Linked DNA regions of Arabidopsis thaliana. The protein of the gene in region 3 interacts with the protein of the main gene of each other region in a pairwise test. Each region holds a gene or a part of one and is shown on either strand. Other genes may lie near its edges. The genes, in order: RK1, LUT1, NRT1.9 and DWF1.

Region 1 (6,174 bases), about 18 Mb from region 3:
ACGATTTCTCTCTATTGTTGATAATATTTCATTTTCAGCTACATTTTCTTGGTCTTCTTGTTCGCTTTTGAAATATCTATAGACTATGTCACTATAGAATTGAGTCAATGACCTTAAAAGTCGTTAAATTGATAATTATGGTTTTGTAATTTCCTAGTAACTGACTTTTCTTCGTTTACTCCAAAAAAATAATATCCTCAACCATTTGTGTGTGTGTGTACGAGAATAGACAAAATTTCAATGTTGCTGGCGACATACTAAATGTTATATGCAAGAGAATGCTTCACCGATGAATTCATAAAAGTTTAAGGTATATATTCGATTTGTTTCATAAAGTCCTCTGTTGTAATAGCCATAAAGTCCTATGTTCGCTTCCAGTATTGGTCTATTATCAGTAGTATGTACAAAAAGTGAATATTAATCATTACTGAATTCCCACTTAATTGAGTTTCGGTCTCAAACTTCAAATCTTGGAGTGACAACTCCAAATCTTGCATTTTTTTGTCTTTGTCTAAATGTTTTTTTTTTATAATTCTCGCTCTAAATCAAAATCATGTGAAACATGTGGTGAATCTTTTGTCTAAATTAAATTAGATAGAGCAAGATATCGAATCATATATGTAGTAATAAAATCTATTTAGACTTACCTATAAAATGATATGCATGTAAACAGATTGGGCCGTAAGTTACAAATTACCGAGCGTCAATGACCGAGAGAGTGATTTGGTTCACTGTACATTCATCGTCGCGCTGTGTACTTGAAGAAGAATCAGCCTCAAGAGGACTTCTACCAATGCAAAATCCAGGACGTTTAGGCTGAGGAATAGCGGTAGTTTCGCTTCCAAGCATCACCATTACCGAGGACATCACTGGTCTGTCTTCGGCTCGTTCTTGAACACACAAGAGACCAATTTGTATACATCTTAAGATTTCATGTGTCGGGAACTTTGATGACAAAGAATCGATGTTGATCGGATCTACAATCTCTAGCTCGTTTCCTTCCTTCCAATGCCTCCACACCTGTGCATAAAGGATGTAATATTTCTTTAGTGTTATAATCAGATTATGAATGCAAAACAATATCGAATTGAAGAGGTTTTTAGCTTACAAAACCGAGGAGATTAAGATCACGGTTTGAGTTGTAGAATCCTTTGTTTCTTTTTCCACTTATAATCTCTAGAAGCAAGACCCCAAAGCTGAAAACATCCGACTTCATCGAGAATATCCCGTCCATTGCATATTCTGGAGACATGTAGCCGCTGCATAACAAAATATAAACTCATATGTTATGAGGTTTTTAAGAAAATATTTGGACTTGAGATAAAAGCTCTTTTTTTGTTTTGTTGAAGAATGATTGCTTACTAAGTTCCGACCACCCTCCTTGTATTAGCCTCTGTCTCCTCCCGTCCAAAGATCCTCGCCATACCGAAATCCGAGATCTTTGGAGTCATATTTTTATCAAGCAATACGTTACTTGCTTTCAAGTCTCTATGGATAATCCTACACCGTGAATCTTGGTGAAGATATAGAAGTCCTCTAGCAATACCATTGATAATATCAAATCTCTTTTGCCAATTTAAGTTAGAGCTTCGTGTTTGGTCTACACATCCAACACAACCAACAACAAGTTAACGTTTTCACAAAAATGTTCAATTATTAGAACAGAAGCTGTTTGAGTCACTAACCAAAGAGATGCGAGTCAAGGCTTAAATTCTCCAAGTACTCATAGATCAACATCTTCTCACCCTTATCGACGCAACAACCTAGAAGCCGGACAAGGTTTATGTGCTGAAGCTTTGCAATTAATCTAACCTCGTTCATGAACTCATCGGTCCCTTGTGAGGACATTTTCGATAGTCTCTTTACCGCAATTTCTTTTCCGTCAAGTAATCTTCCCTATTACCACACATGTGATTATACAATGAAACCATGTGCTGTGGTAGATTTTCAATATGTTTTGAATCACTTTTACCTTGTAAACAATTCCGAATCCACCTTGTCCAAGCTTGTTGTCGTTAGAAAAATTGTTTGTTGCCGTGGCAAGAGCTTCCAACTCCAACAATGGAAGCTCTAGGTACTCACTTTTTTTTTCTTTGGATGTGTAACCCCTCCTAGATACTACCACATCGTTGATTAGCGAGTCTTGGCTTCTCACTTGATCAACTGTTTCATTCAGGCGTTAAAAAAAAAAAAAACAATCAAGACATTTGATTATCAAAATTTATTGACAAAAATAAAGGAAATGAAAGCTAATGATTTATTTTACCATTAGGTGTTTGAATTGTTATTGATCGCTTCTGCTTCCTTTTCCAAAAATGGAAGATGACAAAACTTAAAAGAAGCAAAATGCTCACTCCAATACTCGAACCTATAATTTTTTCATTTTTGATTCTCTTGTCCTCTGCAATAAAAACGAGGCATATATTTACTTCTATACGAAAAATATCCTTTGTTGTACGTTTGATTAAAAAAAATTAATACGAAAAATAAACAAAATAATTAATTTAACTTAAACAAAAATTCTTTTTGGTATAATGGTATTGGATCTAGCTAAACTCTTATTAATCTTTTGATCTCTAATTAAAAACAGATGACAAAAAAAAAAAACTAAACAAATTGACCAAACATCAAGAATGTACTTTGTTGACCAAAGCCTCTATAGATTAGGGAGTTTGAACTTTGCTTCGAGAGGGACAATATTACATGACTTGGTCCGCAGATTGGGAAGATATATTGACTTTGGGTCATAACTTTTTAATCAAAACAAAAAGTAAGAACCACTTTAGTAAATGCAAATAAGAAAGAAACTAACCGAGTTCAGCAGCGGCTAGTCTAACGTAAAGATCCTGACCTCCCTTAGCATAATTTCGCATATCCAAAATCTCTCTGGTCCAAATCACACAACCAGACCCGCCATTGCGAATATCCGCATTAGCGAACGCAGTGCAATTACAATCTTCTAGACACCTTTCTTTACATACTTTCAACCCAATTTCTCTGTCCACAATTGTCGCCGTGGTATCTGGCAATTTCATCCTCTTCAACCGGGTAAAACCATCTCTACCGTCACAGCTCAGCCTCGTCTTCCTCATGCAACCAGCGGAGCCATCTCTCAAGTCCCACGCTTGCTCATTCACTGGCTTAAACCCTTTGATACAATAACAATTTGGTAAACTGTTCGAGTCGCAATAACCGAAATTCCCGCACACTTTGTAGTTATCGCATAGGTCCTTCGGTGAGTACCATAGTTGCTTCCAACTCTGTGTTGTCTCAAACCAAGTCAATCGTTGTAATAAACCCGCAGAGTTTAAGTATAATCTCGAGTATAAGTTTGTTTTGTTGATTCGGTATGAGTAAGTCACTTCCTCCTTACTTGCTGTGAAATTGTAAACCATGTAATCAACTTGAATTGTCCCTGGTACGCTGCTAAAACGCATTCCATTCCATGGACCGCTGCGGTATAGTATCGACTCCTTGCTGCATATGTAAAACTCAGGGAACTCGCTGGTTTCGAGTTTTGTCGAAAACTCACCGCTTGATGGATCATCTGTTGTTTTCCAGGATCTCAAGATCCTGTTGAATCCGGTTTTCTGATCCCATCCCAATTTCATCTCCGCAAGTAAAGTATCTGTCGGAAAATCGAAACTCTGCCATAGAAGTCTGTTATTGGAGTCTCTGAGCAAGAAATTACCGTTATCAAGAAGCTCTGCAGCCACTGGTGATCTCACATCTCCTCCGGTTATATTCGTCGACCAAACAGGCCTATCGGACTGATCGAAAATGACGAGGTTATTGCCGGATATTTTGAGAGTTCCGTTGGAGCTAGAGAGAGGATTGTCTCTGTTTGCAACCCATACGTAGGTTCTTATAGGGATTATCTTGTACCATATGCCGAGATACCAACGCGAACTTGATGCGGGATTGAAGAAACCGAGCTCGAAGATTTGACTAGGAGATATAATGGTTTTGTTGCTTGAGATAGTGAGAGATTCTGTGGCTGAAAGAGTGTTTGGAGAAACAGAGAAAGCAAGAAACAGAATTAAAATGAGGAAAATGAAGAAAGAATGGTGGTAGTTTGGTACACTTCTCATCTCTCTCTAGGACAGTTTCTCGTGTTCTGTTTTCTTTCTTCTTGAGGGAATTTTATGAGAATTTGAGAATTTTTATCTTCGGAGATTCATATTATTGTTGATGTGTGCCGTTATTTACACGATTACTCTGTATATTACATTGTTGATGATATTTCATTTTCGGCTGTCTTTTCTTGGTTTTCTTGGTTTTCTTGGTCTTCTTGTTCGCATTTGAAATATCTATAGACTCTGTCACTATAGAGTTGACCTAGCAAATGACAAGAAAATAACTCGTTAGATAGACATTTACTTATCAGTGTTTTTGTAATTTTCTTAGTAACTGACCTTTCTTCGTTTACGCAAAAAAGAAACAAATCTCGTCAACACTCCTTATTTGTGTGTGTGTGTGGCCAGGCCTATGCGTGTCTCAGAGAGATATAAAACTAATTTGTGTTTTTCTCGTTATAAATAATCTTTTTTTTTTGGTTTTCTTTCCTTTCCTACGAATATCAATTCATGAAAGAAATTAACTTACACCACCAAGCTTCAACTATTTCATTCGCTAGACAAGTAAATCATTAACCTTAGACTACAAAATGACATTTGTTTGGCAGAGCTTCGTATTCGTAGTGCTGTGTGTACTGGCCATCGCATCATGACCGGTTCAATTCTATCATGGGTTCTAGAACAAAATTGTTTTTTGGCTGCCCTTATAAATTTCTTTTAAAGATTTTACATTATTTAAAAAAAATTGTATGACAGTTCTAATAAAATTTAGTTATTAAAAACAAAAGCAATACACAAAATATTTATGGGCCCTTCTGTTTTATTATTTATAAAATTTAGTTATAAAATTTATTATTTATTACAAATAATGAGACTTGTTACATAAACGATTTTACAACGTACAATTCCTTTAAAGTCACCAAAATATTGTCAATAAATATTAGGTGCAATCATAGGTTGTTGTTATTCTTGATTTGTTTTGTATGATTCTTACTTGTTCAGATCGTATAAACTCATCAATACCACTTGAAGGAGTTATCAATATTTTATTTCCATGCTTTATATTTTTAGAACTTTATCTTTTTATTTTTGCATAGAATTGAGCCATCTCATAACATTTGCTCTTAATTGATGCACTCTCTCTTTAAATGAATCAAGAAATTGTTAACTGCTATATTACCTTCAACATTTTTTTCTAATTCATATATAATTTTGTATTATTGTGTAAAATTTTGTCTTTATAATATTATTTGACATAGATTTTATTTTATGAAAATTTTGTCAATACAAATAATTATTATTAATGTTGAAGACTATGCAAATGCAAAAAAAAATAGAAATAGATTTTAGAATATACTAAATTCTATTGCTTTCTTCTTCTCTAGCTTCTCTCTAAAACATCCACGAACACATCCTCTTTTTTTAAATTAACATTATTGTCATAGCCTTATAGGACTATCTAGTCATGTTTAGCTTATGGCGTAGATAGGCTAGATTGCGAAAGCGTGTAAACCGGTTAAATACGAAACGTAATTACTTTACATAGTAGACCCGTAAGTAAACAAATAACTCAAGAAAGCCCCAAAATTTTACCATTTTAGTTAATTACTTCTTCTCCTCCTTTCCCTCCAAATCCTTACTCATCCATGTCCTTCTAAAAGAAACCTCTGTTCCTGTCTCCCAAAACCAAACCCTTCTTCGTCTCGAAGTAATCAAACTCTGACAACAACAACTCGAATTCAAAGTAAGCGGCTAAAATTTCATTGCATCATCTTCAAATTTCGTTGCCACACGCTCTAATGTTCAAGCCAACGTTAGAATTTAGGGTTTTTCATTGCGAATCTCAAAATCCTAAGACGTTGTTTACCAAAAAGAACAAAGAAGAAAAAACCTTACTTTACCTTTCAATGATCAATGGTTCTCGTAAAAATAGTTCCTTTTGCTTCTCTGTTATAGCCAAAAGTGTAAAGTTCGTACCTTTGAGGGTTCACTTGTTTAATGGGTTTTGTTGCGTTAATCTTTCAGAGTACGAAATCGAGTTTGGTAACTTTAATATAAATGCCGAGAATGCGTATTGAAGGAAGAGATTTAGTCGATC
Region 2 (7,347 bases), on a different chromosome or scaffold from region 3:
GCGATATGTTTTGGTGTACCAATGATCACATGGCCGTTGTTCGCTGAACAATTTCTCAATGAGAAACTCATCGTGGAGGTTTTGAACATCGGGGTTAGGGTTGGGGTGGAGATTCCGGTGAGATGGGGAGACGAGGAGAGACTTGGAGTGTTGGTCAAGAAACCGAGTGTTGTGAAAGCTATAAAGCTTTTGATGGACCAAGATTGTCAACGTGTAGACGAAAATGATGATGATAATGAATTCGTGAGACGAAGGAGACGTATTCAAGAACTTGCAGTAATGGCGAAAAAGGCTGTGGAAGAAAAGGGATCTTCGAGTATTAACGTTTCAATTTTAATCCAAGATGTTTTGGAGCAATTGAGTCTCGTGTAGAAAAATCGAATGTAGAAGTTGACATAAGATTTATAAGAATAACACCAAACGATTTTTCTTTTTGCCAAAGAAGAAAAATTCATATAGATATAATGTGCATAATATGTATACTTTCGAACTCTTCTCTTAGCCTAATGAGTGATTTAGAAATACTCTTGAAATCATCACTTAAAGAGTCTTTTTTCCTTTTTCTCGAAAGATGAAACTTATATATATGGAAAATGCCTTTTAAGGATGCACTTAGAATATAGACTTTAGATTATTACATCTTGATGAAAATATTAATGTCTTCACTAGATATCTCAACTCAATTAACAAAGAGGTCTTTTGATTCATTATTTTGAAGCTTTTAGAAATATGAGAAGAAAAATGCTTGAATATTACTTCTGAAACTCTAAGATGGTGTAGAAGTAATCAATGTAGAAAGGTCGAAAAGTAGGGAATCCCGCGGAGAGACCAAGCTCTATAAACTCTTCTTCGGTTCTATGCTTACCTTTGGTTCTATAGATGGTCATGACAAAGATGTCACCTTCTAACAAGGCACGAGTCCGGTGACTTTCATCGGTTTCCTTAGGCAAGACCGGCTCACACGCAATCAGCTTTCCTCCAACTGGTAACGCGTTGTAGCAATTCTTCATTATCTGCTTGCATTCTTCATCCGTCCATGTCGTTAACACCCACTTTACACTCAAACAACAATATTACAAGATATTAATTTGGGACCAGAGAAGCAAAAAATGTGTGTATTTGTTTGTGTTGTTCTTTCAACAAACATGAGATCCCTATCCATGGTCTAACAGATCACAAGTTTTTGGTTTGAGAAATGTATAATCAATATTTAAATGATCATAAATAAATGAAAGTGACCAGTCGCATGATCTAACGATAACTAAGACTATATACTACCAAACATATTGTCCGAAGCGACTTATAAATTTATACCTATATCACTAAACATTAAAACTATATACAGAAACTAGAATTCGTCCTATTAGCAAAAATGTTAGTAGGTGTATTCTCGTGACAGACAATAATGTTACAACAAACCTTCATGAAGATAGCGTCAGCGCTAGGAACTGATTGGAACATATCCCCACCCACGTGAGTCACTCCTAAACCATACAATATATCATCCATTATTACTCCGTACATTACTAAAAATAGCTTTTTACTTTCAGAAAATAACGTACGTACAATATATCATAAATACAAAATCTCACCAGGAATATTGGGGGCTTTGGCAACAACTTCAGGTAAATCGAAATTAATCCCTTCACGGACGTTAGGAAATTGTTGAAGGATCATACGCAGACAATCCCCTGCACTACCTCCTACGTCAACCAAAATATCCACTGATTTAAACCCATCGTAGCCGTCTAATATAGCTTTCATGAACGGTACAGATACGCCAGACATTGCCTTTTGCATTAGACCATTCATCTCCTCACTTTTCCCATACTGAGCGTATGCCGCCTCGCCGTTTGCTTTCACGTACGGCTCTGTCTCCGGCTCCACCACTGCCGTGTGAACTAGTGGCCATGCTCGCATCAACGCCTCCTGTAATATATATCATTTTCACAACAAGTTTTAGACATTAGTTTATTATACCATCATTAGTCCTTTAATATATCACTCCAATTTTGGAAAATGAAAATGAGTCATAAACCTGGTGATGTTGGAGGACGTAGGCAGCGTAAGAGAGGCCGCCGGAGTCGGTTACAAGAGTTTTTCCGACGTCCGTAAGAGAGTATTTCCTCTCAATGGATCCAACAAGGTGTTCGGAGAAGACACCGTAGCTGGTGAGCATCCGAAGTATACGCTGAAGATTCTCGGGGTCGCCACCAATGGTAGTGTGAGATGGTAGGTGGAGGCGAGGGAGGATCTCGGCGGCAGAGAGAGGAGAATTGGCTCCGCCGTTCCAAATGGCGTCGGCAATGCCTAGTCGCACGGCGGCATTGAGAGACATGGGAACGCTAATCATGTTAGCAAGCTCCATAATGGCAAGACGAGCTCTGTTTCTACTCTCTGAGCTTTCGTTCTCCATTTTTTTTAATCTTCCTCGTACGTGAAAGTGAAACTACACATCGCTATAGAACCCACTAGTATTGGTTTTATATGGTTTTATATGGTTTTTAAGGTTAATGTTACGTGTGGTCCATATGGAATGGGATGGTTTTAGACCTTAGTCTATTATTTAGAAATTCAAAAAAAAATAAAATTTTGATTTTCGTAATTACTGAAAAATGGAGAACAAACACAAGCTGTATGAAAGTTTGATTTGAAATGATAACACAATTACCAAACTTTAATGGTACTAGCATCTCACTGTTCAAAATTCACATTTCCGATGGTACAACTATTTTCCATAATTCATTTTTTTGTGGTTATTTCTCAAGAGTACTATGAAACAAGTCCATTCACACCAATCAATTATCATGAAAACATAAATTCTGGTTTTTACCTTTGGCTCACCTTCATATACAATCCCTGAAATTGAAAATATCAGCATTAGAGAAATTGGAATCATTCTAAACAAAACAGACACTCTCATTAATCTCTCGAGTGTGAGAACATTGGCATACATTGGTGGTGTGTATGGTTGCTCCTGTGGTCATGCTAATGGTCTGATCAGGAACCAGCTCAACGTTTAACCGCTGAAGAAACACCGCGAGTGCCACAATTGCCTCCATCAATGCAAACTGATCGCCTACACATTTTCTAGGCCCTCCACTGAATGGGATGAATCTGGTGAAAAAAGAAAATCATCTTTTAAATTCCCTAATCAAAACCACTAATCTTGATTCAGTAGTTTGTGTCAAAAGATGTGTTCTACTGAGTTTACTTGAAATCAGTGTTTGTTTCGTTAGGGATTGCGCCATCTATGTCGAATCGTTCAGGCAGAAATTCCTCAGCTTTTTCCCATACCTTTGGAATAACAAACAACAAACACATAAGAAATGTGGGCATGAATGTAATACTAGGAATGTCCACTCCGGTTAGATATCCGAACCACACAAAGATCATTGAAGAGAAGGATTAGGCTCCCCTATGTTATACTATGGACGAGAGAAGGAAGAGAACTGTACCTCGGAAGAACGATGGATGTTATAGACTGAAATCATAATGTCTTGTCCGGTATTGACCTTATAGTTCCCAGGAAGAATGTCAGGAACTTGAGCTCTTCTTATCAAGACCTACCAGGAAACAAATCAATCAGAAAATTTAGTTCATGAATAATTAGAGAGATGAGCTTGATTGCTTACAGGAGGATGAGGATAGAGACGCATTGACTCGTTTATACAACGAGTGATGTACTTCAACTCCTTTATATCCTCGAAAGCCGGGTTTCTTCCTTCTAACACTCTGTCTACTTCTTCTTGTGCTTTCCTTAATGCAGATGAGTTCTATGAACATAGAGAATTTGAAGAGGTAAATGAGAACAGAGAAGCTCCCATCCAAGTAAATTCTCTAGCATAGCAAAGTAGAAGATACATTAAGGTACCTTACTTAGGAGATAAAGTGTCCAAGTGAGGACAGATCCAGTGGTTTCATGACCCGCTACGAGCATTGAGAGAAGATCATCCCGTAACTGCACACTTGATACCTGAAAACCCTCACAATGCAACATCAGCTTCGATTATGCGATAATGAAAGGCCAAATTTGCTTATAAACTTAAGGAAAAAAGTTTAAACCTCTTCTCTGCTTGCAAGCAAGAAACGCAGGATACTTGGGTCAGCATCATTTACATACTCCTCATCATTGATTCTTTCGCCTTCTCTTTCGACAATTTCTTTACACTTAGCAATAAGGTCTTCAACAGTTTCCCTTATCAAAGTTACAGCCTTTTCAGCTTTCACCTGTCTCGGGACTATCTTACACAATGCATCGATCTGAAAAAAACAACCAAACCCTCTCAATTAACAAGAATCCAATTGTTCCACACAATCAACAAACCACAGAAAAAACACAGGAAACTTGCCTTCCAATATGGCAGAAGATCAGTAGAACGAAGCTCAGCTTCTTTAAGAGCAGTGTAAACAGCTTCAATGACAGGACTATCAGTAGTCAAAGAATCGAAATTGTAGTTAAAAAGAGACAACCCAATGACATCAAGTGTCATCTGAGAGAACTTCGCTTCCATATTCACAGCACTTCCGTCTTCTGCATAAGGCTGCAACTTCTCAACAAGCCTCTCTGCACATTTGCAGAATACTCTCTCCACAATCACAGACAAATACCTCCTGTGAAGCGATGGAACCACCGCTCTACGCCTCGCCTATGTAAAAAATCAGACTTCAGCTAAGCCCAATAGAGAAGATTGGAATCTAAACCCTAAAATTAGAGTTACTTATCATACAAGACAGTCACACATTACTTCCACAATTCCAAAAACTTCAAAATTGAGATAGGAGGAGATGAAATTACTGTCCAAAGAGGTCCTTCAGCGATAGCGAAACCCGAACCAAATAGAAATTCAGAGACTTCAGCGACTAAGCCTTTAGCGTACTTTGGATAATTCCTCAAAACATGTTTAGCTATCGCTGGGTCGCTCACAATTACGAAATTACGAGGACCAGCAGCGAGACGGTAAATGGGTCCGTACTCATTCATCCATTTGTAGAGAGGTAAGAAGAGAGCACCTCCGAGGAGATCAGCGACATCGTCGAGCTTCGCGTTCGCGATTGGTATACCTGACTCGTCGTTTTTTCCTGAGGAAAGGGTACGAGTGAGTGTTGTGAGCCAATCGGGACTGACCCATGATTGGGATTTCGATGAATTGGTCTCGAGTTTGGGTTTGGGTTTCTCAATGGAGGATCTGATGGAGAATGTGAATTTGGGTTTTGGTGATAAAAGACGCGTAGGTTTTGCAGTGAAGAGAGAAGAGTAAGAAGAGGAAGATGGAGAAAAGAGTGAAGACTCCATTGATGACCTCTTTTCGAAGCTTCCGTGCAGAAATATTTGACTCTGTGTAGAAACGCGAACCGTTACGCGTGGATAAGGACGACGATGCATAAAACGACTACGTTTTGTTAATCAAAACTTAATATGGGCCTCCTCGTATTTGGGCCTTTTAAAAGCAAGTAGCAAAATCTGAAACGAAACAGAGAAGATCGAATTTTCTTTGAAACTCTGTAAACTCTGTTTCTGTAAAGTTGTTAAATTTTGTCGATCTGGTAGGAAGAAGAAGTACAAGAGAACAAGAAAAAGTCAATTCCTTTCGTTAGTCGGCGAATTCTAGAAACGATGTTCAATTTCTGGTATGATTTTGCGAATTTTTTGCCATCTGATTCATATGTTATTGATGAAATTGCGTGATCCAGACATTAGGTCTGTTAGCGATTAAGGAAATCTTGTTGTTGTGTAGTTTGTTGAGCTATAATGATATATTTGAGGTTTTTGAGGTGAATTGACAAGTGTAGATTTTGCTCAGCTACTGATTTAGGGTTCATAGTTACTGATATTAGGTTTACAATGATGTGCTGTATAAATGCACCTTTCAAGTTTATGAGGTGATGTATTATATTAACTTGGAAGCTGAGATAGTTAGTTGATGATGTTTCTTTTTTTTGTTGTGTACGTGAAGGGGATCAAAAGACCAACAACAAGGGCAATCTCGTCCTCAGGAAGCTTCTTCACAGTCGCCATGGTACTCGCCTTCTTTAGTTAGCTCGCCAAGCTCATCCCGGCCTCAAAGTTCAGGTCAGATTTCAGCACAAGTATCACCGGGTGAAGCAGCTGGCATTATCGTCTTCTTGAAAGACAAAAGGTTTGCTCTTTTTGTTTGTTTGTTTGTTATCCTTCTCTCGAGTGTGCGTTTTTTTTGTATGTCTTCTTTTTGAATAGTGTATACTTTTCTGTAGCGTGGATGAACTCAGGAAGCTTCTCTCTGACAAAGATGCGTATCAGCAATTTCTGCTCTCTCTTGACCAGGTCAAAGTCCAGAATAATGTAAGTCTCTAAAACAGTCAGTTGTTTCTGGATAGCTAAGAGTATTACTATTAATTGTAGTCCTAAGAATGGAGCTTCGTTAGTTATGTGTTGATATTATTCATTGGTGCTCTTTCAAGTATATACATTGATATTGTTTGAGGAAGCCTTTATCATGGCGTCATCTTCTACATGTTGCCAGTAATTAGAGCTTTCTGGTTCTTTGTTATAGTCTCTAAAACAGTCGGTTGTTTCTGGATAACCGAGGGTCTTATCTGTAGCTCTAAGAATATGTAGCTTCTTTAGTTCTGTGTTGATATAATTCATTAGTGCTCTTTCAAGTCTATACATTGATATTGTTTGATAAAGCCTGTATCATGTCATCAGCTTTCTGGTTCCTTGTTATAGTCTCTGGACGTTAATTTTTTCGTGATTTGTTTCTGTCCGTCAGATCAAAGATGAGCTCCGTAGAGAAACATTGCAGCTAGCTAGTAAGTACTCTATGGTTCATGTAATTCTACAGGAAACTTTAGTTCAATCCAGAAATCTAGAACTTTCCATTTGATCAAATGTAACAGGAGACAACTTGGAGAAGGAGCCACAGATAATGGAGCTCAGAAACCAAGTGTGTATCAAGAACCAACTTTTCTTGTTCAGTTTTACCATGTTATACCTTTTCGATATCTCTGATTTACCAGTCTTTACTTATTTTACAGTGCAGAATTATCCGTACAACTGAGCTCGCAACTGCGCAAGAAAAGCTTAATGAGCTTGAGAGGCAAAAAGAAGAGATCCTCAAATTCTACTCCCCTGGTTCTCTTCTTCATAAACTTCAAGGTAACAATTTACCATTGCAATGGATTCTCCCCTCGTCTCATTTTCTCTACTGTTCTAAACACCTTTTACTTGTTTTGCAGAGGCTATGAATCAGGTGGATGAAGAATCCGAAGCCCTGCAAGAAAAGTTCCTAGAGAAGGAGATTGATACAGCAGCATTTGTGCAGAAATACAAGAAGCTTCGTACTACCTATCATCGACGAGCATTGA
Region 3 (4,872 bases):
TTGTTAAACACTCTCACTGCAATTTCCATGTCTTTTATGAAATCTCAAATCAGATTGATATGTGTTTTCTGCAGTTCACTAAGTCACTTGAACATGAGTCAGCTTTGCAACCAATCAACTAAAGAAAGGCGGGAATTGAGATTGTTTAATAACTAAATTGGTTTGTATCATTTGTGTGTTTGGTCATTGGTGTGTATATTGTAAATAGAAGCAACACTAATGATGATGCTGCATGGTACACTTTAAATCTTCTTTTAGCTACTTGTTGTCCAATTTCTGACCAGACTAGAAGCCTTTGAAGCGACTATGACTCTATGAGGTCCATCAAATGAAACACTTACGCACGTTGTGATCCAAAGCTGACGTATATTTCCACCTTCACGAAAAAATGACAAATTATTTAGGAATATTATGTGACAATAACAAAACATAATAATTAAGGCTCCAAAAACAAATCTTTATTACTACTTATTAACGAACGAACGTAATTAGATTACCGATAGTGTGCTAATGGGGTTTCAGAAAAGTGATGGGTGGTTTCTTTTGGACTAATCCAATCAAAAGGGATTTGATTTTTTTGGGTTATATCATTTAGGAAAAGATACTTTTTTGTTCCCTTGATAATCAAAACTGTCTTCTCCATCACTCATATTCTCTTCTAATTGTTCTCACAATCATATCTCACTATAAAATTGAAATGCTTTATTTCTGTAGCAATAATTTCAAAGACAACTTTCTATTTATTATGAAATTAATATAAATATTCTTTTACCCATCACTTGAAAAAGAAGAAGCAAATGTACATCTTTTTTAGATAAGACTTTTAGTTAACATATACTCTTGTTCTCCAAATTAAATCGTAATTCGGTGGGTTTCTATTTTTGATAGTATAGAAAATTTCGAAATAAATGTCTAATTCATTCATTCATTACTTATATAGATATATTTTAAAAAACCTAGAAATGTACATGAACTATAATCGGTAAAATAAAAAAGAATATGGATATTAGTTGACCGCCAATAATACAATTTACCCCTCTTGAGGGTCATATTTATCAAAACGAATCAACATGATTTTTGAATGCAATGGTCGTCTCCTTATTTCTCTTTTGCATGCTTAAATGTTTCTTTTACATAATTAAAGTTTTGAGAAGAAAAAAAGTAACGGTAGCGAGAAGATTCCTTTTGCATTTTTGAAAGTTTATTGCATTCAACTAAAAAGCCAATTGTCAACATTACAGAAATATGTTCGTATTGGCACAATATATGATTCTTAAACAACTCTTCTTAGCTTTCTTCTTCTTCTTTTATCATTTTTTCATATTGTTTAAGAATACCTACTAGATGAAAAGTAAAAGGATAGATTCGTTGTCGATATTACAGATATTAAAGATGAACTCTTGACTGCTACTTAATGTTTAAATAACGAGTTAAGAATATTACATAAGTCATGGCAACAAATAAACTAATAAGTTATCCGAACGTTAGTGTGTTAGTTGACAAATCAAAACAATGAAGTGAGGAATACCAACTCCAGTCCTCTCCTTTCGATAAAGCCGACTCTTTTTACTCAAATCTATATTCTAATCCAACACTTTTGTTTTGGTATAATCTCCAAATAGCTTTTTTGGTCTCATAATGAGATCCTTCTCACTTCCCACTAATATATATATACACACACACATATACTAACACATTACACACACTTAGAGAAAGCAGAGCAGAGCATAGAGAAAAACATAACAATGGAGGTTGAGAAGACAGAGAAGAACATTGCAGAGGATGATGAGTCTAAGATCATCTACAGAGGATGGAAAGTCATGCCCTTCATCATTGGTATTTATTCATCCATATTCTTTCTTATATATATATATATATATTTTTTTTTTTTGATAAATACTTTTGTTTGCTTACAAGTATAAAGTCATCATGTTTTTTTCATCAGTTTCTTGTTCGTTTCAAAATTATGATTTTTGTTTACTTACACTCATAATCTTGAAACGAACAAAAAACTGATGGAAAAACATGAGGACTTTATACTTGTAAATAAATAAAAATATTTATTAGAAATAAATAAACAAAAATATAAGAATATTTATTAATTTCGTGCTCTTTTAGTATGTTTTTATTATTATTTATGAAACATTTGATTCATTGACAAAAAAAACATTTGATTCATAAAATTAAAACATAGGACTTTTTTTATGGATCTGTTTCTTTCATGTTTTTTATTTTTATTTATTATAACATTTTTGGTCTTGAAACGAACAAGAAACTGATAGAGAAAACAGAGGATTTTATGAACAGAGTAACTTAATGCTCTGTTTCTTAATTTGGTAGGAAATGAGACATTTGAAAAATTGGGGATTGTTGGAAGTTCATCGAATCTGGTTATATACTTAACGACGGTTTTCAACATGAAGAGCATCACGGCTGCGAAAGTCGTCAACATCTACGGTGGCACAAGCAACTTTGGCACCATCGTCGCTGCTTTCCTCTGTGACTCCTACTTTGGCCGCTACAAGACCCTATCTTTCGCCATGATCGCTTGCTTTCTCGTAAATTCTAAAACCTATTCATCACAATTTTCAGTTTGAAAAAAAACTAGCTGATTATGTCTGAAAGTTTCAATCGTTTGTTGTGTTTGATGCAAAGGGTTCGGTGGCAATGGATCTAACGGCTGTGATTCATCCCCTGCATCCAGCTCAATGCGCTAAGGAAATAGGAAGCGTGTGCAATGGGCCATCCATCGGACAAATCATGTTTCTCGCCGGAGCAATGGTTTTGCTGGTGATCGGAGCCGGTGGGATTAGGCCATGCAATCTTCCATTTGGTGCTGATCAGTTCGATCCGAAGACAAAAGAAGGGAAACGAGGGATTGAGAGTTTCTTCAATTGGTATTTCTTCACCTTCACGTTTGCTCAGATGGTGTCGTTAACCCTCATCGTCTATGTTCAGTCAAACGTGAGCTGGAGCATTGGTTTAGCCATCCCAGCTATTCTAATGCTACTTGGTTGCATCATATTCTTCGCTGGTTCTAAGCTCTATGTCAAGGTTAAAGCTAGTGGCAGTCCCATTCACAGCATAACTCGTGTCATTGTTGTCGCGATCAAGAAGAGGCGGTTAAAGCCCGTTGGGCCTAACGAGCTTTACAACTACATCGCCAGTGATTTCAAGAACTCGAAATTGGGCCATACAGAGCAGTTCAGGTACTAATAACCTCACTACTTCTCTTAGTTTCTTGTGGAACAACTTAGAAACATTTTAGGGTTTTCTTAATTTGCAGGTTTCTTGACAAATCGGCAATCCAAACACAAGACGACAAGCTGAACAAAGATGGGTCGCCGGTGGATGCATGGAAACTCTGCAGTATGCAACAAGTGGAGGAAGTTAAATGCGTGATCCGGGTGCTTCCGGTTTGGCTCTCGGCCGCCTTATTCTACCTAGCTTACATTCAACAAACAACCTACACAATCTTTCAGTCTCTTCAATCCGATAGACGCCTTGGTCCAGGAAGTTTCCAGATCCCGGCCGGTTCTTATACCGTCTTCCTAATGCTTGGAATGACGATATTCATACCTATCTATGACCGCGTCCTTGTACCTTTCCTTAGAAAGTATACAGGCAGAGACGGCGGTATCACACAACTGCAGAGAGTTGGAGCAGGACTGTTTCTATGCATCACAAGTATGATGGTGTCTGCAATTGTAGAACAATACAGAAGAAAGGTAGCTCTCACAAAACCGACGCTAGGGTTGGCCCCAAGAAAAGGCGCAATCTCTTCGATGTCCGGTATGTGGTTGATTCCTCAGCTAGTGCTAATGGGTATCGCGGACGCCCTCGCTGGAGTTGGACAAATGGAGTTTTACTACAAACAGTTTCCAGAGAACATGCGAAGTTTTGCTGGTTCTCTGTATTATTGTGGAATCGGATTGGCGAGTTACCTCAGCACCTTTTTGTTATCGGCGGTACACGATACCACAGAGGGATTTTCAGGAGGAAGTTGGCTTCCGGAAGATTTAAACAAGGGAAGATTGGAGTATTTCTACTTCTTGGTTGCTGGTATGATGACTCTAAACTTGGCCTATTTCTTGTTGGTCTCACATTGGTACCGTTACAAAGATGTTGTGGCCAAGGACAAGGACATGGACAAGACTTCTGCTGAGTTTGATAAGGTGTCAGTGTAATAAAGATCTTTCCTTTGACTCTTTGGTTTAGGGGCTTTGAGACAATAAAAATACAACCTTTGAACAAAACATTACATACAAAATACAATGTAAAATGTTTATATATGTAAAGAACCATAGCTTCCGTAAAATTCCCATCCCTCAAAGAACAAGCCCGGAAAATTCCCAATTTATGAAATGGGGAAAAAACGGAGCATTGCTCTGTTTTTGGTGATAACGAATAAATTTAAACAGGAACAGTTTGTCCAGTGAGAGCGTCATGGAGATGCAATGACCCATCTTTCATCAAGTTAATGCTTAAGCTTTTGAACCTCTCTCTTGAATATTGTCTCGATGCCTTTCTCCAGTCAGTTCCAGCTTTCATCATCGTCACAAACTCATCATAGTTTATACGTCCGTCCTGTAAAAAGCAAACAAGCCCAACAATCCGACTCAGAAGCAGAGGGATATATCTTTTCTCTTGACAAGCTTTATTGTTAGGCCTTAAAGGAGGATTTTTTTGGATATTTGAAAGAACCTTGTCAGTGTCAACTTCACGCATGATGTCGCTTAGAACACTGGCGTCTGGCTCGCCTAACTCATCCGCTAAAGCTTCCCGTAGCTCATCAAGTTCAATGTATGTACTTCCATCTTTGTCGAAAAACATAAAAGCTAGTTTGAAAAGTTCATCATTCTCTATCTTCTG
Region 4 (5,014 bases), on a different chromosome or scaffold from region 3:
AATAATAATCTTCAATTGTTTTTGAAAAGAATGAATTGGGTATCGAGACTTCACAGTTACATTCCAGTCAGAGCTAATGTAACTAAAGGAATTTGAGCTAGGAATTTGGTCGAACACCTTCTATGCACCATTTTATGTAGATAAAGGACAGACCTTTCCACTTCCAATTAACAGAGCCGCAAACATCATGACGGAGACGAAATCGAAAAACAAGCAAGTAACTTCGAATACAAAAGATACAACAAGAATTAATAAATCGAAATTACTTACCACTAACAAGTGCTTCAACAACGCTTTAGACGATCGACTCTGTAAAACTTCTTTCAGAAACAGAGCTCTTCTTACTCGGAAATGGCTGCTTGGGTTTATCCTAAAAAGTCTCACCCGGTCAACTTCGGTTCAAATACCGGTATTTCCAGGTTTATATCAAACCTAACCGCACCCCAATAAAACTAACAAAGTCGGGTTTTAGTGTTTTAGATTCACGTCGTGAATGATCTAAAGCCTAGTTGGTGGTGGTATAAAGAGAGAAGTTGAAATGATCTCTCAAATTGGTAGATCAATTAATTCATTACAGCAACATGCTTACATTGTGACAGTCAAGCAACACGATAAAACCGGAAACCTTCAATTTCATAGGCAAATCCAAAAGTTTTAAACTCTAAAATCCACTCAAACCAGAATGAGTCAAACAACAACAAGAAGCAAACAACAACAACAAGAGTCTTCAAGACACTAAAACTGAAATTAGGAAACAACAACATAACAGACACTACTAGGAATAACAATAATCATCCCGAGCCATTACATCAAACCAAGGCTTATTATTACTTAATCTGCCTCGGCATAAGCAGTTTCGAGATGAGCTTGTTCGGCTTCTCTAACTTCTTTCTCAGTCTTCCTTCCTTTCTTGGACTTGTAGTAAACACTCATGAACGTTCCAATAGCTCTATACTTCTTGCGGCACTCCTCATACAATTCACCATTAAACATTCTCCAGAAGCTCTTCTCGTCGAGCTCAGACACCGCGTACTGAGGCTGGAATCCATGGTTCTCTATCAGCCATTTCTCCATCCTACGCACTGCTTCTGATCCATCAAACTCTTCACCTCTTAGGACACAGCCAGGTGCGTAGTAGACTCCAACATCAGTGTACATCTGTGCATCTTCTGTGTCTCCTTGTCTGTTTTCGTACTCGAAGCCTGGCTCTGGGTAGATTTGGCCTTTGATTGGCTGCTTGAAGAGTTTGTGTGGGCAAAGCCAAATTGGATACACCTGAAAGAGAACAAACAATTCATGATTTTGTTAATAACATCAAAAGAAACTTTAACTAGAAGATGATCAATCATGAAACCGAGCTTTTAGTTTTACCTCCATTTCGCGGTGGACCCATTCGAGTGCATCGCCAACCTTGTAAAGAGGAACAAGCATATCCTGAATAACATGCATATCATGGTAATAGTTCCTGATAGCTTCACCTTGAGTGGCCTTAAGAAGAGAGACCTTTGGAGGCATCAACCAACCTAAGAGGTACCTAAACCAGAACTGATCACCAAATGGAAGAATAAGCTTCCCTTCCCAGTACAAGCACCTTGTGTGCCTGTGGTAGTATTCACGAGTTGGGATGTACTCAACAAACTGTCCCTTTTTCAGGGCGGTCTGCGCGTGCTGGTAGAACCACGGCTTGAACCACCATCCCACATTGTTGATTTTGTTCCCTTTCTTCTTTGCCTCTTCTTTAGATGCATATGTTCCAACCATCATCACTCCTTCCGTTGGATTGTAAACCATGCCTTCGACGAAATCCGGGATTTTCGACTTGTCACCGTCTTTGGGAGCAAAAGAATCAATGTAACCTTGAGCTAAGGCTTGAAGATCACCCTTGACTGGTATGTAAGTGAGTCTCATGTACTCCTTGACTTTAATAAGCCTGATCTCAGCAGCTACAAGGAGTCCAAGAGTTCCTTGCGACCACGGGATTGCGTAGTAAAGATCAGAATACTCATTATCCCTTGTGGCGCGGACAAGCTCTCCACCCGCAAGAACAATCTCGTAAGCCTCAACGGTATCAGCAAACAAACCGTAGATGTGAGAGCTTCCTTCAATACCATATCCATTGATAAGTCCACCAACGGTAAGGTCATCAAGCTCAGCAACAACAGCGAGAGACAGGTTCATTGGGACGGTAGCACGGGAAATCTGTCCCATGTTAACAAGAGGCTCCACTCTAGCAGTCATCTTCTCCTTGTTGATCTCAAGGATGTTACGGAACTCCCCCAAGTCAACCTCGAAATGCCGGGCTCTCTTGTAGTCAACGTTCCTCATTCCAACAGCGATCCAGGGCTTACGAGCAGTGCAGACAAGCCCGTCCTTGGAAGCATCCCTACCCTTAAGCCTTTTGATGACTTTCTTGACATTCTCGTCGTGTTCCTTCTGACGTTTCTCAAAGGACTTGGACTCTGACCACATGTCCCCGAGGTAGATGAGGAAGTAGAATGTGGCTGAGAATGGAAGGACGATGAAGATGACAATGATCCATCTGAACTTGACAAAGTAATCAACCCAAGTCTTCTTCCTCTTGGGCCTCACAAGCGGTGTCTGAAGATCCGACATTTCCTCTCCTCACTGCATCAAACCAAAAAGAAAATCAAATCAACCAGAGTTTCAAAATCCATCACTGTAAAAGTCAACAAGGCCTAAGAAGTGAGCATAAATCTACCAGAATGTCAAAAATACTAAAGATTAGTTTCTTGAATCCAAAAAGAGTATAATAAGCACACATAAACACATACGTATACACACATGTGTATCAGTGTATGTGTATGAAATAAATCTGTAAGAAGAAGATAGTGTGGAGTCCATGGAAACAGAGAGCTAGTGAACAGAGAGACAAAAAGACATGAAGTTATGTTCTGAAAGAACAAGAACACAGAAAATGGTTATAATCTTTAGATCTACACATCTAGTATTCCTACAAAGCCATCAAAGTCTGTTTTCTACCACCAAAATAAATAAATAAAAGTTGGTGAGCAAAGTTTGAAACTTTGTTTGAAATTCTCCAAGACTGAGATGATTAAAATTAAAAAACCCACATAGTTCACTAGTGCGTGCTATGAAACAACTATGAACCAAGTACTGAGAGATCTAACGACAGGAAATGATAAGTCAGCGACTGAGACAGAGAGAGAAAGAGAGGTAGAGAGAGTACCTGAAGAATCCAAAGGAGAGAGAGAGTGAGAGGATGAGATGTGAAAGTGTCCCCAAGAGTGTGAGAGCATTTGTCTTTATAATAAAACGTGATTCAAGCCAGCCTGCTTCACTTGCATTTTTCGCTCAAAACAAGGTATTTTTTATTTCCCATTTTTTTATATAATTTTAAAATAAAAAAGGTAATAATAACGCAAAAATATAGAAATTAAGAAATATATAATGTATATTTTTCATGGGTTTGTATAAGTGGTTTTTCATATTTCTAAGTTTCTTTGTTGTTATCGCAATTAAAAATTCGATGTTAGTTGTAATGTTGATAAATCACATGTGTTATATTTATGAGCAATTTTTTAGTTTATAATTCTGATGTAAGAAAATAAAAATAAATTGTTTTTACTTATATCAGTATTTAATATATTTTTACCAACTCTTTTAACATTTAGAAATTATATGTAAATCGAACCTAGAGCTTAATTAGACATATCTTCCAAAATATAATTTCTTACTTAGCAGTTAGCATATAAAAGGAATATGAGGACAAATTCTTTGTAGGGATATTTTTTCTGAAAAGAGTTTACTGCTATAAATAGGTAAAAGCAAATAAATAAAAAAAGGCAACAAATCTTAGCAGTTTAAATTTCTTTTAAATAGAAAAATATATCTTTCTTTTGGTATGTAAATCACAATAAATTACAGGAAGACATGTGCCCAATGAAGGAAATGTAATTGTCCAATTCGTTTTTTTTTTAAATGCATTTTATGGGTTGATTGTATTGATTTTTGTTTTCTAAATGCTTTTAGCGAAACAGTCCTCCTACATGTTTGTTGATGTACCTAAAGCACATTCCATCCTCGTGAGGTTACTAAGCCGACGATCTTATATATTGTTTATTGGCAAAAAGTTCATTACAACTTTTCTTATCATAATAGTTATTACAACAATCTTTAACATTTAGTTTTGATATGTTATGATTGAAGCAAAAAAAGCACTGCCTAAAATATCTTGAAAACATTATACATTATGAATGCTAATGAGAGTTCCTTATATCTTTCTCTCAACTCTTAAGGGATCTTCAAATGAGTGTTTTTTTTAAGCCAAAACAATTGTGAATTAGTCATTCACTTTCATCTTATTCAGATTACAATGTAGTATTTTAGAAACTAATGTGTAGTAAAAAATTTTATATAAAATGCCTCTTATTTATATAAAAAAAAAAACTACGGCTGTGATGAGAAATGTTTTCCCAAATCCCAATAGCCATGCTTTTCATCAAAATTCATATATGAAATCATTTGTATCATTATCAGTGCCTACATAATACAGTAATAAACACACAAACTATCACGTTATTTGGTGAAAAAGGCTCTCAATATATAATTCTGTTACTGTAACCAATTATTTGATTTCCACCTAAGTATTTTAATAGTTGATTTAGAAAAGCAAATAAAATCATGATTTATTTAGAAAAATGGTTACACTTTAAAGTAATGAAGTGCTCAAAAAGTTTTTTTTGTCGCCAAAAAGTAATTATTTATTTATTTGACATAGAAAGAAAAAAAAAATTACAGGGATGATGGCCTGTCTGAGAAAATATCCAGCTCTTGCAAAATCTCTCATAAAATATATTTACTCTTTAAAATATGCCAACTAATTTCTTACTCACATTTACAGCTACAAATCATTTTTTTGTAGTATGGAAAAATAAATGTCTATTTGGCGAATCACACCTTTTGACATTGACAGTTTGACGTCAGTGAAAATTTGGTTGACGCTTGACAAAGTTTTAAACCGTTACAAGGTCGT

What was found.
Region 1: the proteins of NRT1.9 (region 3) and RK1 interact in a protein complementation assay, tested with the Arabidopsis thaliana proteins (one large-scale study listed by BioGRID).
Region 2: the proteins of NRT1.9 (region 3) and LUT1 interact in a protein complementation assay, tested with the Arabidopsis thaliana proteins (one large-scale study listed by BioGRID).
Region 4: the proteins of NRT1.9 (region 3) and DWF1 interact in a protein complementation assay, tested with the Arabidopsis thaliana proteins (one large-scale study listed by BioGRID).

Annotation. Positions count from the first base shown.
Region 1 is NC_003070.9:24,466,849-24,473,022, reverse strand, and holds RK1 (receptor kinase 1), read right to left. Parts: upstream 4,242-6,174; 5' UTR 4,092-4,241; coding exon 2,813-4,091; intron 2,402-2,812; coding exon 2,267-2,401; intron 2,164-2,266; coding exon 1,973-2,163; intron 1,897-1,972; coding exon 1,686-1,896; coding exon of another isoform or gene 1,681-1,685; exon of another isoform or gene 1,601-1,680; coding exon 1,363-1,600; intron 1,260-1,362; coding exon 1,109-1,259; intron 1,021-1,108; coding exon 694-1,020; 3' UTR 551-693; downstream 1-550. Other genes in the region: AT1G65780 (P-loop containing nucleoside triphosphate hydrolases superfamily protein), read left to right, coding at 6,135-6,174. UniProt on the Arabidopsis thaliana protein: Involved in the regulation of cellular expansion and differentiation. Mediates subcellular relocalization of PUB9 from nucleus to plasma membrane in a protein-phosphorylation-dependent manner.
Region 2 is NC_003074.8:19,690,761-19,698,107, reverse strand, and holds LUT1 (Cytochrome P450 superfamily protein), read right to left. Parts: upstream 5,352-7,347; 5' UTR 5,297-5,351; coding exon 4,799-5,296; intron 4,650-4,798; coding exon 4,353-4,649; intron 4,264-4,352; coding exon 4,066-4,263; intron 3,977-4,065; coding exon 3,875-3,976; intron 3,777-3,874; coding exon 3,636-3,776; intron 3,567-3,635; coding exon 3,459-3,566; intron 3,298-3,458; coding exon 3,215-3,297; intron 3,118-3,214; coding exon 2,955-3,117; intron 2,860-2,954; coding exon 2,830-2,859; 3' UTR 2,417-2,829; coding exon of another isoform or gene 2,039-2,416; intron 1,930-2,038; coding exon of another isoform or gene 1,593-1,929; intron 1,485-1,592; coding exon of another isoform or gene 1,420-1,484; intron 1,053-1,419; coding exon of another isoform or gene 753-1,052; 3' UTR 566-752; downstream 1-565. Other genes in the region: UGT73D1 (UDP-glucosyl transferase 73D1), read left to right, coding at 1-372; AT3G53140 (O-methyltransferase family protein), read right to left, coding at 753-1,052, 1,420-1,484, 1,593-1,929, 2,039-2,416; VPS37-1 (Modifier of rudimentary (Mod(r)) protein), read left to right, coding at 5,618-5,631, 5,958-6,140, 6,235-6,322, 6,753-6,792, 6,880-6,926, 7,018-7,138, 7,219-7,347. UniProt on the Arabidopsis thaliana protein: Heme-containing cytochrome P450 involved in the biosynthesis of xanthophylls. Specific for epsilon- and beta-ring hydroxylation of alpha-carotene. Has only a low activity toward the beta-rings of beta-carotene.
Region 3 is NC_003070.9:6,519,055-6,523,926, forward strand, and holds NRT1.9 (Major facilitator superfamily protein), read left to right. Parts: upstream 1-1,666; 5' UTR 1,667-1,745; coding exon 1,746-1,836; intron 1,837-1,886; exon of another isoform or gene 1,887-2,070; intron 2,071-2,340; coding exon 2,341-2,558; intron 2,559-2,655; coding exon 2,656-3,209; intron 3,210-3,286; coding exon 3,287-4,187; 3' UTR 4,188-4,314; downstream 4,315-4,872. Other genes in the region: ICS2 (isochorismate synthase 2), read left to right, coding at 75-122; AT1G18871 (uncharacterized protein), read right to left, coding at 255-431; CDPK1 (calcium-dependent protein kinase 1), read right to left, coding at 4,414-4,587, 4,705-4,872. UniProt on the Arabidopsis thaliana protein: Low-affinity nitrate transporter facilitating nitrate loading into root phloem. Not involved in dipeptides transport, but has a weak glucosinolate transport activity.
Region 4 is NC_003074.8:6,879,004-6,884,017, forward strand, and holds DWF1 (cell elongation protein / DWARF1 / DIMINUTO (DIM)), read right to left. Parts: upstream 3,313-5,014; 5' UTR 3,209-3,312; exon of another isoform or gene 2,626-3,208; 5' UTR 2,614-2,625; coding exon 1,372-2,613; intron 1,276-1,371; coding exon 832-1,275; 3' UTR 521-831; downstream 1-520. UniProt on the Arabidopsis thaliana protein: Plays a critical role in the general process of plant cell elongation. Involved in the synthesis of campesterol, an early precursor of brassinolide.